2 linked regions of the Arabidopsis thaliana genome follow. The protein of the gene in region 1 interacts with the protein of each later gene in a pairwise test. Each region holds a gene or a part of one and is shown on either strand. Other genes may lie near its edges.

Evidence for each region. The genes of interacting proteins can lie anywhere in the genome.
Region 2: the proteins of SRF4 (region 1) and UMAMIT30 interact in a protein complementation assay, tested with the Arabidopsis thaliana proteins (one large-scale study listed by BioGRID).

The regions. Positions count from the first base shown.
Region 1 is NC_003074.8:4,185,609-4,191,828, reverse strand, and holds SRF4 (STRUBBELIG-receptor family 4), read right to left. Parts: upstream 4,459-6,220; 5' UTR 4,320-4,458; coding exon 4,226-4,319; intron 4,098-4,225; coding exon 3,965-4,097; intron 3,876-3,964; coding exon 3,804-3,875; intron 3,699-3,803; coding exon 3,633-3,698; intron 3,558-3,632; coding exon 3,486-3,557; intron 3,392-3,485; coding exon 3,320-3,391; intron 3,246-3,319; coding exon 3,174-3,245; intron 3,093-3,173; coding exon 3,024-3,092; intron 2,927-3,023; coding exon 2,861-2,926; intron 2,774-2,860; coding exon 2,176-2,773; intron 2,092-2,175; coding exon 1,820-2,091; intron 1,715-1,819; coding exon 1,594-1,714; intron 1,511-1,593; coding exon 1,374-1,510; intron 1,281-1,373; coding exon 1,124-1,280; intron 1,029-1,123; coding exon 966-1,028; 3' UTR 531-965; downstream 1-530. Other genes in the region: AT3G13070 (CBS domain-containing protein / transporter associated domain-containing protein), read left to right, coding at 1-13, 94-318; AT3G13062 (Polyketide cyclase/dehydrase and lipid transport superfamily protein), read right to left, coding at 4,561-4,679, 5,042-5,324, 5,465-5,661, 5,821-5,902, 6,105-6,220.
Region 2 is NC_003075.7:606,591-611,309, reverse strand, and holds UMAMIT30 (nodulin MtN21 /EamA-like transporter family protein), read right to left. Parts: upstream 3,038-4,719; 5' UTR 2,725-3,037; coding exon 2,540-2,724; intron 2,167-2,539; coding exon 2,104-2,166; intron 1,955-2,103; coding exon 1,838-1,954; intron 1,743-1,837; coding exon 1,355-1,742; coding exon of another isoform or gene 1,319-1,354; exon of another isoform or gene 1,266-1,318; coding exon 1,114-1,265; intron 1,004-1,113; coding exon 823-1,003; 3' UTR 545-822; downstream 1-544.

The DNA.
Region 1 (6,220 bases):
CTATAGAGTAGAGGTATTGAGTGGCTCATTTTCATATTTGGCACAAAGCACCGTCAATGTTTTGAACTAATCGAGGTCTTTTTCGGTTTGTAGATACTAGCAGGGAATGCAAGAAAAGTTAGTGCTGTCCGGTTTGAGAGAGTGAACGATATGGATCAAGTGTCGGAGGCAAGTGATGTAAAAAGCATGGTTCCCAAATTTGTAAGGAAATGGAGCAGCGAAGAAGATGATGGGAACTTGTCCAACGAAGAAGACCAATCCGAGAATGCTGTCTTAGATGAACATGTACTGGCTGATAATAGCAAGAAACAACAATGACACTGAGATACAGTTCCTTTTTTCTTTATGCTGCATTTTTCAATTCTTCTTTGAAAAGGAAAGAAGTAAGCTCACAAATACAAGAAGCTTTCTTCTTTAGATTTAATGTAATAATCAGGATGGATAAATTAAGAAATTCGTGTTAGGTAAAATCCTATACAAGAAAGAAAAAAAACATCATCAGGAGAAATATGAAATTCGTACGCAAGTCTACATTTAATTTGTCGATTTCTGTTTATGCACAGACGACTCTGTTTCCGAAAACAGAGCTTACTGGTCTAATTGTTAATATTCTTACACAGATGAGACTTTTGGATTTTATTTTGCAGTTTGATTTATGTTTGTAGACAGTGGATTACAAGAGAGGGTTATTCTATGACACTAGTAGCTTTTTTCAACTTTTCTCATTGTGTAAAAGATTAATCTAAAGGTTAAGACATGATCTGAAACAAAAACCCAAATAATAGAATCTCTGTCTCTCCTTTCCTCCACCTATATATCTCTCTATACAAACCTGAATCCAATAGCTTTTGAGTTTCCTACTTGATTTTAATCAGAAGTTTCTCAGGTTTTAGCCGCAATCTCCAGAAGAGTTATTCTTCTTCTTTTAATACTTTGGGGGCTTCAAAATGACTTGAGGCACTAGACTACACTAGCCTCTTCAATGCCTCCACCACATTTGACACTGGAGGCCTAAGTCCAGGCTCCGTCTGAAAACAAGAAATAACAATCCATTCTCACAAACCTTGAACTTAGAAGCTCTGAAGAACATAATAACACAATAGAGAATCAACAATGAGCGTACCATTACGCAGATGGAAACTATATCCGCGAATGATGATACAGATTCTGGAGCGTAGAGTCCGCACAACGCGGGATCCACCATTTCATCCAGAGTATCCATGTCTTTAAGCTGCGGCTTTGCCCAACGAACTAAAGACTGTTCTGCTTTTGGCCTCCCACTGAAGATTAGAGGCATTCAAAAAACATTTCAGATACTTGTATAGTTCTTTATAGATATTATATCGGACATTACTACTGTTTGAGAATGGAACCTGTCATAAGGCTTTCGACCAGTTAGCAGCTCAAGCATCACCACACCAAAGCTGTACACGTCGCTCTTTTGTGTGTAAGCGGAGGGATCTGTGCATTCTGGGGCATTGTATCCAACTCCAAGATTCTGACTTGTGCGCTACAGTTTCAAGAGATGAGACACTTTAATAGATTTGAAACAACTCTGTATCTCCATAACACTAATTTTTACAAGAAGCTCACGTGGTGAAAGTTTGCCAAGCCATAGTCTGAGAGGCGGGGATTTAGCTCATTATCAAGTAAAATGTTTGATGACTTGATGTTCTTGTGAACTAGCGGAGGCGAACATGTTTCATGAAGGTACCTGACAAAAGAGAGTTTCTTGTCACAAGATAAAAAATGAAAATAAAGAAGAGCAGCAAGTAGCTAGTTCGATGATTCTCCTCAAACAAATGGTTTAGATAATTACTCTATAGCTTTAGCAGTTCCGAGAGCGATTCGGATTCTGGTGTTCCACGTCAATGGTTTGCTGAAATCATCAGACAGGTGAAGAAATCTGTGAAGTGATCCACTTGTGAAATACTCATAAACAAGCATATTTCTTCCTTGTTCTGAACAATAACCCACGAGTTCTGCCATATTCTTGTGGTGAATACTCGAGATACTCGACACTATGTGTGAAAACTCTTCCGGATTGCCTTTTCCTAACAGAGAAGAATCAATCTCTTTGACTGCAAATTTCTGGTAAGAAGAGGATAACAAGATAAGAGATCTAAAGAAAGTTTTCTTGAGAAGAAAATGTGGAATGTAACAAGGAAAACAAACCCTTCCATCCTGAAATTTAGCTTTATAAACACGTCCAATGGTTCCTTCACCAAGAAGGCGATTCGGCGAGAAACAAGACGCGGTATTCTGCAAATCCGCTAGTGAAAACGCTTTCACACCGCGTGTATCAGGAGAGTCTTGGGAGGTGGAGGAACGGTCAGGGGTAGCAGCCACTTGGGTAGAAGGTATGAGATGAAAAGTAGGAGAGTTCTTGAAACTGACAGAAGAAGTTCTTTTAACAGAAGGCTTTGTTTCAAGTGAAGTATTAGAATCAACTGTCTTCTGGTTTTTGAATTCTTCCATATTATCGAATTGAAGCATCTGAGAGGATTGTGGTGTGAAGAGTGGCTTGCTTCGGTTGGTTCCTTTCTCGTCGTCGAAAAAGTGAGAAGAATCATTAGAGTTCTTTCTTCGAGAAATCAATGCAATCAACCCTGCAAATAAAATGAGTCCACCTATAGAAGACACCGCTATTATAACTCCTAGTGTCAGAGCCTTGCTGCTTCCTCCACCGCCTCCTGATGAGTTTCTGTCTATGTGACGGGTTCCCGGAGGTGGTGAAGGAGCTCTACCGCTTGACCACTTGTTTCCTCCAGTTCTAACCAAGAAATGAAGAAAAACACATTAATGCTTTTGCATCTTTTGATTGTGTTTAAGGGAGAATGAGAGAGATAATAAAACTTACTCAAGGTTTCCAATATTCTTCAACTCGTTTGGGATCCAACCAGTAAATTGATTGTTTGCTACGTTTCTGTCAACGCAAGATTCATAAACAACATTAATGAAAGAAAGTTCATATTTCAAGGATTTAAACGATGTGTTATGTATATAGCATGAAAAATACTAACACATCATCAATCTGAGGGAGGTCCCTGAGAGCATTTATAGAGCCTTTGAATTGGTTTTCTTGCAAATGCCTATAATTAGAATGGTAAGGTGAGTAACAGTACAAAGGAGTTAAATTTGAACAACTACTTCGAAGTGCTTTCTTCTCTTACAGTGTTTTAAGACCTGTTAGATTGGCAAAACTCTGCGGTAGTTTTCCCGTGAGTTGATTGGAAGAAAGATCACTGCAAAACATATACTCAATGAAGTTAATGAAATCTTTCCAAATCTGCTGCAAAAAAAGAAGTATGTGGCTTACATTGTTTCAAGTTTTGGAAGCTTTTGAAACATGTCACTGAGTTCACCATTGAGGTTGTTACGGCCAAGGTTTCTGAGTAAATACAAGAACAGGTATGACTAAAAGGGCGGGGTGATACGTGGGAAAAGATTATGCGAATGAGTCAAATTAAATGTCTTTGGCTTACAGGTAACTGAGGTCGTTCATGAGAGACACCGAATATGGCACATTACCGTTGAAGTCATTCTCAGAGCCATCTCTGCAATACCAACACATTGAAATTGTGTACTAATGAACATCATATATTATGGCTTTGTAATTCGAAGATACTTACAGATAAGTAAGCTTGTCAGGAAGCTGGTAGGGTAAGTTTCCGTTAAGATTGTTCTTGCTTACATCACTGTTACAATGACAAAACAGAACATGTAGCTGATATCATCAATTAACTGAATTTGATCAAGAAGTAGAGATTAAGGAGATGTATCGAGGGTAAAAACATTCTCACAGGTAAGTGAGCGATTTCAAGTTTCCAAGCTGGTAACCTAAAGATCCACTGAGTCCACGTCCAGATACTTTTCTACAGAAACAGAAAACGAGAAAACAAGAAAATCAGAATCGGTGAAGAGTATCAAACCATTGATCAAGACCAGAGAGGAAGTAACAAACATTTCAGTAACAGAAGAGCCTTTGCAAGTAATGCCATCCCACGAATCGCCACAAGGATCGCCTCCGCTTGAAGACCAGCCTTTGAGTTTTGATGGAGAGTTCATGCTCTTATAAGCGTCATTAAGAGCAGATACTACAAGAATCCATAAATATGATCAGGCAGGAATAACGTTCATGAACTAAATATGAAATTTTACAACCACCTCTCTGATTTCAAGATCGGATCACAACGTTTTTAAATGATTCAATAAGAACACTCACCGTCTTGGCTATCGGTTTTTGCAAGAACAACGGAGGTGAAGATTCCGAAACATGCAATGAAGACAAGTACGATCCGCTGCAGATTTGGTCCCATGATCCGACAGTTTTAAGCTCAAAAATCAAAATCTGTAAAATAACAAAAGAGATGATCCAGAGAGAAACCCAGGGCTGGTTCCGGGTTTCCTTGGGGATGAAGGAAACACACGAAAACCAAAGGAGAGGAAACAAAGAAGCTAGATAGGTCATGAAAGAAAACTAAATTGGAAATGGTGTGGCAGTAACCAAAAATGGCAAATTCAGTTTCTTCTGTTTTCTTTTAGGATTTTTGAATGACGTTATTGAGTGAAAAGGCGAATAAATCTGGACGTGTGAATAGAGAAATGTACAGCTAAAAATGAAGCAGACACCGAAACATTAGGAGAGAGACCACAACTGTGTCCAAGTCCCGATCCAACTGCAAAACACACACATAAACAAGTTTGTTTCAACGTATATTCAATTTCAAGCACACGTGTGTGTGAACAAACAAAAATTACAACAATTTCATTCAATTGGTCTGAAATTTGGTGAGAAAAACAAGGGCTTGACTGTAAAATACAAGTTTTTACATTCACATTAACACAAATATAAAGTCTTCCACGACACGTATACAAAACTTTGAAGACCCCAGAGCTCATGTGATCAGAGACATTGCAGAAATAGAACTTTTCTATTCACACGTTTAATCACTTTTACAGACACTCCCTATCACACAAGCTTAATCTAAGTAAGTTGCACATGCTTCATCAAAACCAAATCTATGCATGACTTAAATACCAGCGTTTTGGGAAGTTTGACTCAGTTGAGCTCCACGCTTTCTCATCTTCGACAAGAAGTAAGCCAACGCGACCTTTGCCCCTAAGGCGGAGTGACCACGAGACAGGCAGATTGCACCACCAACGGCACCGCCCACAAGTAACATACCATTTGCTATCAGTTTCTTTGAAGGCTTTCTCAACAGTTTCTTCCGTTTGGCTCCTTCACCTGTGTGCATACCACTAGTGGTAGTTCCCGAGGAGTTTGTAATGTCGTCTGTCTGACTTTCTAACTCCGATGGAATCTGTGGGATAAGACAAGGGTGGGTCAAACAAGGCATATTCATTGAGATTTCACAAACAGATATTTGCAGGGAACAATCTATCCAGCACTTGACCAGAGAACTGAACTCAGAGCAGGTAAAAAAAAACACTAACATCTCACCTTTTTCATTAAGCTTACAGCAGATAATGTGGGCCCTTGGGGTCGATGACTGGTTGCAATGTACTTGCGAAGTGCATTTTCCATCTTACAAACGTAACTCCATATGCCTCTTGAGAAAGCAAGCTTTGCCATCTCAACATTTAATCCAGCATCCTCCTGGTGAACCATGTGTATCTCACAAGCGTTCCTACCAGGAACTGCAGCAAGTTTAAGTTATGCATAGACAGTATGGAGGAATGAAAAACCTTATTCACCACTCATACATATTACAGAGATTTGTGGTATATGTTACTGATGAGATATCAAGAGAAGATTTAGTTGAAATATGGATGATAACCCTGACAAGAAACACTTGCCTTTCCTAATTCGCCAACCAGATCTGAAATAACTTACACGTACATACTTCCTCTGTTGCGGCACCATATTGTGATCACATTCCTGATAATAACCAAAGAGCAAAACAATAAGTAAAGAGGCAAAGCGAATAACAGATAATATATAACATGGTCCAGGTCTGTGTATCTAGCATATACGAGAAATACTTAGCAAATTTAAAGAGGAATGCATAGGTGCAAATGAATAATGTAATTTAGAAATAATAGCATTAAAAATAATGCCCTTAAGATAAGTGCATCATTACCTTGATGAAACAGTAAAACTTATCCTTCCCCTCCCACAATTTCCACGCTAATACATACTCCCTTGGAGTCAACAAGGGAAACTTTTTTATAGTGCGACCAATCTCAATCCCACTAT
Region 2 (4,719 bases), on another chromosome or scaffold:
GAGCTTTCACTCCTTTCGTGTGCCATCTCCTCAGCAGTATTGTAAAGAAAAAGCAAAGCAATAGCGATTTCTTTTTCTGGTGGGTAATGATTTATAAACAAAAAAGAAATATTTAATAAAGTATATAAAACATGAAAAAAATAAAGTACGAAGATGTCATAGTAGCCCAACATACCCTGTACTCGCCTTTTAGGAAATAAATAACTATTCGTGTTTGTTAACATTTGCAATAATAGTCATATTTACAGAACAAAAACATTGAAATAATTTGATAAAAAAAAGAAAGAACATTGAAATAATTTCCATAAATTCGGAGTACGTAATCGACCGTTTACTAATATGACTCTCATCAATAAGGACGTCAAAGTATGTCACACCATCCACGAGAAATCGAGAATCGAATTATGTTGAAACTTAGGTATTGAGTAAAAGAAACCAAATAAAGGTATTGAAAGCTCACAAGAATCTATTGTAAACTTTAGTTTTTCAACTATTATTATTTTACGTTATTTATTTTTTACGTAAAAAGATGCAGATTGAATAATTTGTTCTGTCAATTAAGGTTATATTCGATACTGTTTATTTCTGTTTTTCGACACTGTTTATTCACATAAACAAATTACAGTATCCAAATGAATCCCGTAGGAATTAAAATCCCCAAAAAAACTAAACGTTGCAACACAAGTACGAAATTGTCCAATAAAAGTATGAAATAGTCCAATAAACAATGAAAACGATCGTTATCTTCTCTTCTTCATATTTCATTTTTTGAAGACATATCGGTCATGATTCTTGTTGAACAAGCGTGTTTAGGGAAGTAGATCAAGGAGTCATCGGAATAACCAAAAGTTGACCGTTGTTAACATTTGTACGGCCTTCCTCTTCCTTTTCTTCTTCCACCGTATTGGTAGGCAACTTCATGATCTTACACTCTACTATTTGCTTACTCCTACTCCATAGAAATATATATAAACCGATCACAACCACCACAGATCCAATAACGCTACAACAATAATAAAAGTTTAGTCCATAACATGCACATGATATAATATATTCAAGAGGTTTATATAGTTAAAATATAAAGTTAATACAGTTAGATTTTTAATAATATACCTTCCCAAATAAATCTCACGATGAAGAATCAAGAAATCGAACACGGTTGCAGACATAAGCACGACAGGACTAAATGATGAGGAAACGACAGGTCCTTGTTGTTTGATACACCACGACATGCCCACCGTACACATACCTTGTGCAACCACTCCCTATAAACATATATTAACAATAGATCAATATCTGATTATTGTGTGGATCCAAATTATTTATATGTCTGACGAAACATTGTCTTATATACCGCTATAACGACGGTGATGATGGTAAGCTCATCTCTAAGGATCCAATCTTCCAAATGTCTAGTCTTAATTAAACTAAGAAGGGCGCATTGAAGCGTACCAAAGACCGACAAAATAACGGTACTCGAGTATGGACAAGGGTATTTCACGTTGATCTTGGCTTGTATAAGCATCCAAGAACTGAAAAGAACAACTCCGGTCAATAAAAAGAAACAACCTTTGATCCAATTCTCATGTCCTGTGTGGTTATTTGAATTTGCTGCTTGTTCTGGAGAGTTTGTTAATGGAATCCCTTGATACATAGTAAGAAGTAAACCTCCTACTAAGCTTATCAAAGTTCCAAGAACGACACCGTATCCTATTTTTGTTTTCAAACTTAGCTTTTCGAACCTGCAAATTTTATTTTTTCAAAATAAAAAGGTGTAAGATTACACTTGAGATGATAGCGTATATGGCACTTTTCTTTATTTTAACAATAATTGTACCCAAATATTAAAGCCATAACGAAAGTGAGGGAAGGCATTATGGCCCAGAAAGCAGATCCCAGCGTTGCAGACGTGTAGGACAGTCCAAGCAAGTAGAAATATTGCATCAAGCTCGCCCTGAAAAAGAAAGATTTATGATAAACGATTATATTTCATTTTATCAAAAACAAAAAAAAATAACATCTTACATAAACATACAAAAAAAGCAATAAAGAGGGAGAGAATAGAAAAACATAAGGATTTAGTGGATTAAAACCGAAACTTACCCAAAAAGGGCACTGACGAAAAGCTGACATGAGATGCTTAGAGTTAGCTTTGGTCTTGTTTTCCTGAACAAATCATGAAATCGAATATTTATTTTGTTAGGCACACACAATTCTGATTCTATATCCGTACATAGAAAAACATTCATGAAACTCTCTAGTATATACTCTTTATTGTTTTCAAGTTAATATTCTTTTATCTTATGAAATAAAATAAATTAAATAAAGTAATTAGCCAGAAAAAAAAAGATAGAGATGAAGCATCAAACGTGATATTTGTGTCTTCTTGTATTTTCACAACATAGTAACCAAAATTCAATTTTTTTAAAAACACTGCCACAAACTTTTAAATATTTTATTATTTTATTAAGGCATAACGAAATGTATAAAAATCTGAAAGCTACGAAAATAAAAATCAAAGAAGAAGTAGTAAACGTACCGTTCCCAAAAATAAGCGACTGGAAGAAGGAAAAGAGTAGATATACCCAAACGATAAGTAGCAATAACCATATGATTGATGCCTCCATCAAGAACTTTCTTAACTAAAGCATTAACCATTCCCGCAATCATGTTAGAAACAATTAAGACTATCATTGGTGCCCACTTTCCATCGATAAAACCCATGATTAGTATAAGTTAATTACTTAATAACCAAAATGATATCTCTTTCTTTCTCTCTCAGTCTCGCTCTCTCTCTTAGCTTTTACTCTATCCTTCTCTCTCTGTCTCTTCTTCAGAAACTTGTTTGAGTAGTGAAATATTAAGACTAGAGGTGGATATATTTATAAATAACATGGATGTTGAGTTGGAGCCCATTTCTTTCTAAAACAACAAAAAACAATGAAAATATTTAAAGAACGAGTAGGTATTGAATTCTTTTTTAACTATGAAACAAATTATAGAACTACTAAGTAAAGTTCTTTAACAGAAAAAAAAAAAAAACTATTAAGTAAAGTTATATGAAACATTTGTTTTTTGAAATTGTAGGTATAGAATATACTGTTTTTCTCGGTGGAAGGGATTAGTAATATATATATATATATATATATTTATATGTAACTGTGATGATGTATATACCACATATGAATGATGTTTCTATATGTATTAAGTTATTAACTATATATTTGTTATAAACTATGCGGGGGCATGCTAATAGTATATATTTCTAAAGATATTAACTATTAGGTAAATGATATACGGGTATGTCAAACTACAAAAAAAAAAATACAACTAAATACTAGGAAATATAAAACTAACACCACTACTCAGTAAAGTTTAGTGGTGTCAAAAAATTATAATTAATTTCTCAATATGTTAGATTTATTTAAGTCACGACTAAATAATGGTAATTAAAGACATAAAATTAAATTAATAATATGAAAATTAGTTTTTTCTTTTCTTATACAACTAAATCTCATACAAATACTCTTCTAAATTTAAAACAGTACTATAAGTTTATAACACAACAGCTTCACTAATAAGCTACCCACCCCGGTCCATAACTGAGTTTGTCGTCAACTTTTCTTATTATATTTATCGACTATATATGTAGCACTAATCGAATTAAAAATTGTTGTTTTGCTCACGTTGTTAATTACGAGTTCAGTGTAATCATTTTAACAAAAATTAAAGAAATGGATAAAACCCAATCATTTCATCAAATGAAAGCAAAGTTGCCTTTGTACCGAACAATTGAATTAATATTTCCCCCAAAAAGAAGCAAAATTATAATTTAAAACATACTTTCACTATCTCTATAAACTTATAAGGTATACGACACATTGTAAATTGACAAGTACACCAAATTCTTTTCTGTTTAAGATTTATTAATATGTAAGCTTACTGATGATAAGATAATTAGATTTCCTTTTTCGTAAATACCAGATTTTATAAGCCCAATTGGAGCCAAACAGCAAAAAATTAAAATTAAAATATGTTCGTAATGTCATAATAAACTATAAAAAATACAGTTTTTTTTAGAAAAGTTTTATCAACCAAACTCCGATGGTTTCAGATGACCTCCTTATTTTTTTTTTTTTTTGGTTCCATACTTCCAGATTAACCACATAATAAAAAAATAAAAAATAAACTTTACTACTACTTGCATCAAAACAAATTACCCAACTTTATATTGAAAGACATTCAAATAACACATGAATAATGTTTCTTCCACTGGTCACATAGTTGATTTTTTTTTTGAATATAAGAACTGTAAATATCATTTCAAAAAATGAAAGTTTAGGATTTAATTGGTCCGAGAAATTTTTGTAAAAAACATGAAAGCATAGACATTCGAGGATTAAATCATCAACGAAAACCATAAGCGGTGAAGCTTATGGCAAGGCTACATTTGAAGTTTTTTTGTTATCACACATCCTGAAGCTAATTGACAATAAACTTGTTGCCACCTGCCAAATAAAATGTTTTAATTTTGCAAGAAAAAAGATTTTCCCAATTATACTTTTAAAAGCATTAAAGTTTTGTCTCCAACTATAATATTCAGAAGGTAAAACTCACGTAATAGAGCAAACCATTAATATGATTTAACAGTAAATTTCCCAAATCCAGTGAAATGCCATGTACTGTATAGTTATCATGTCTATATAAGTGTAAGCTAAA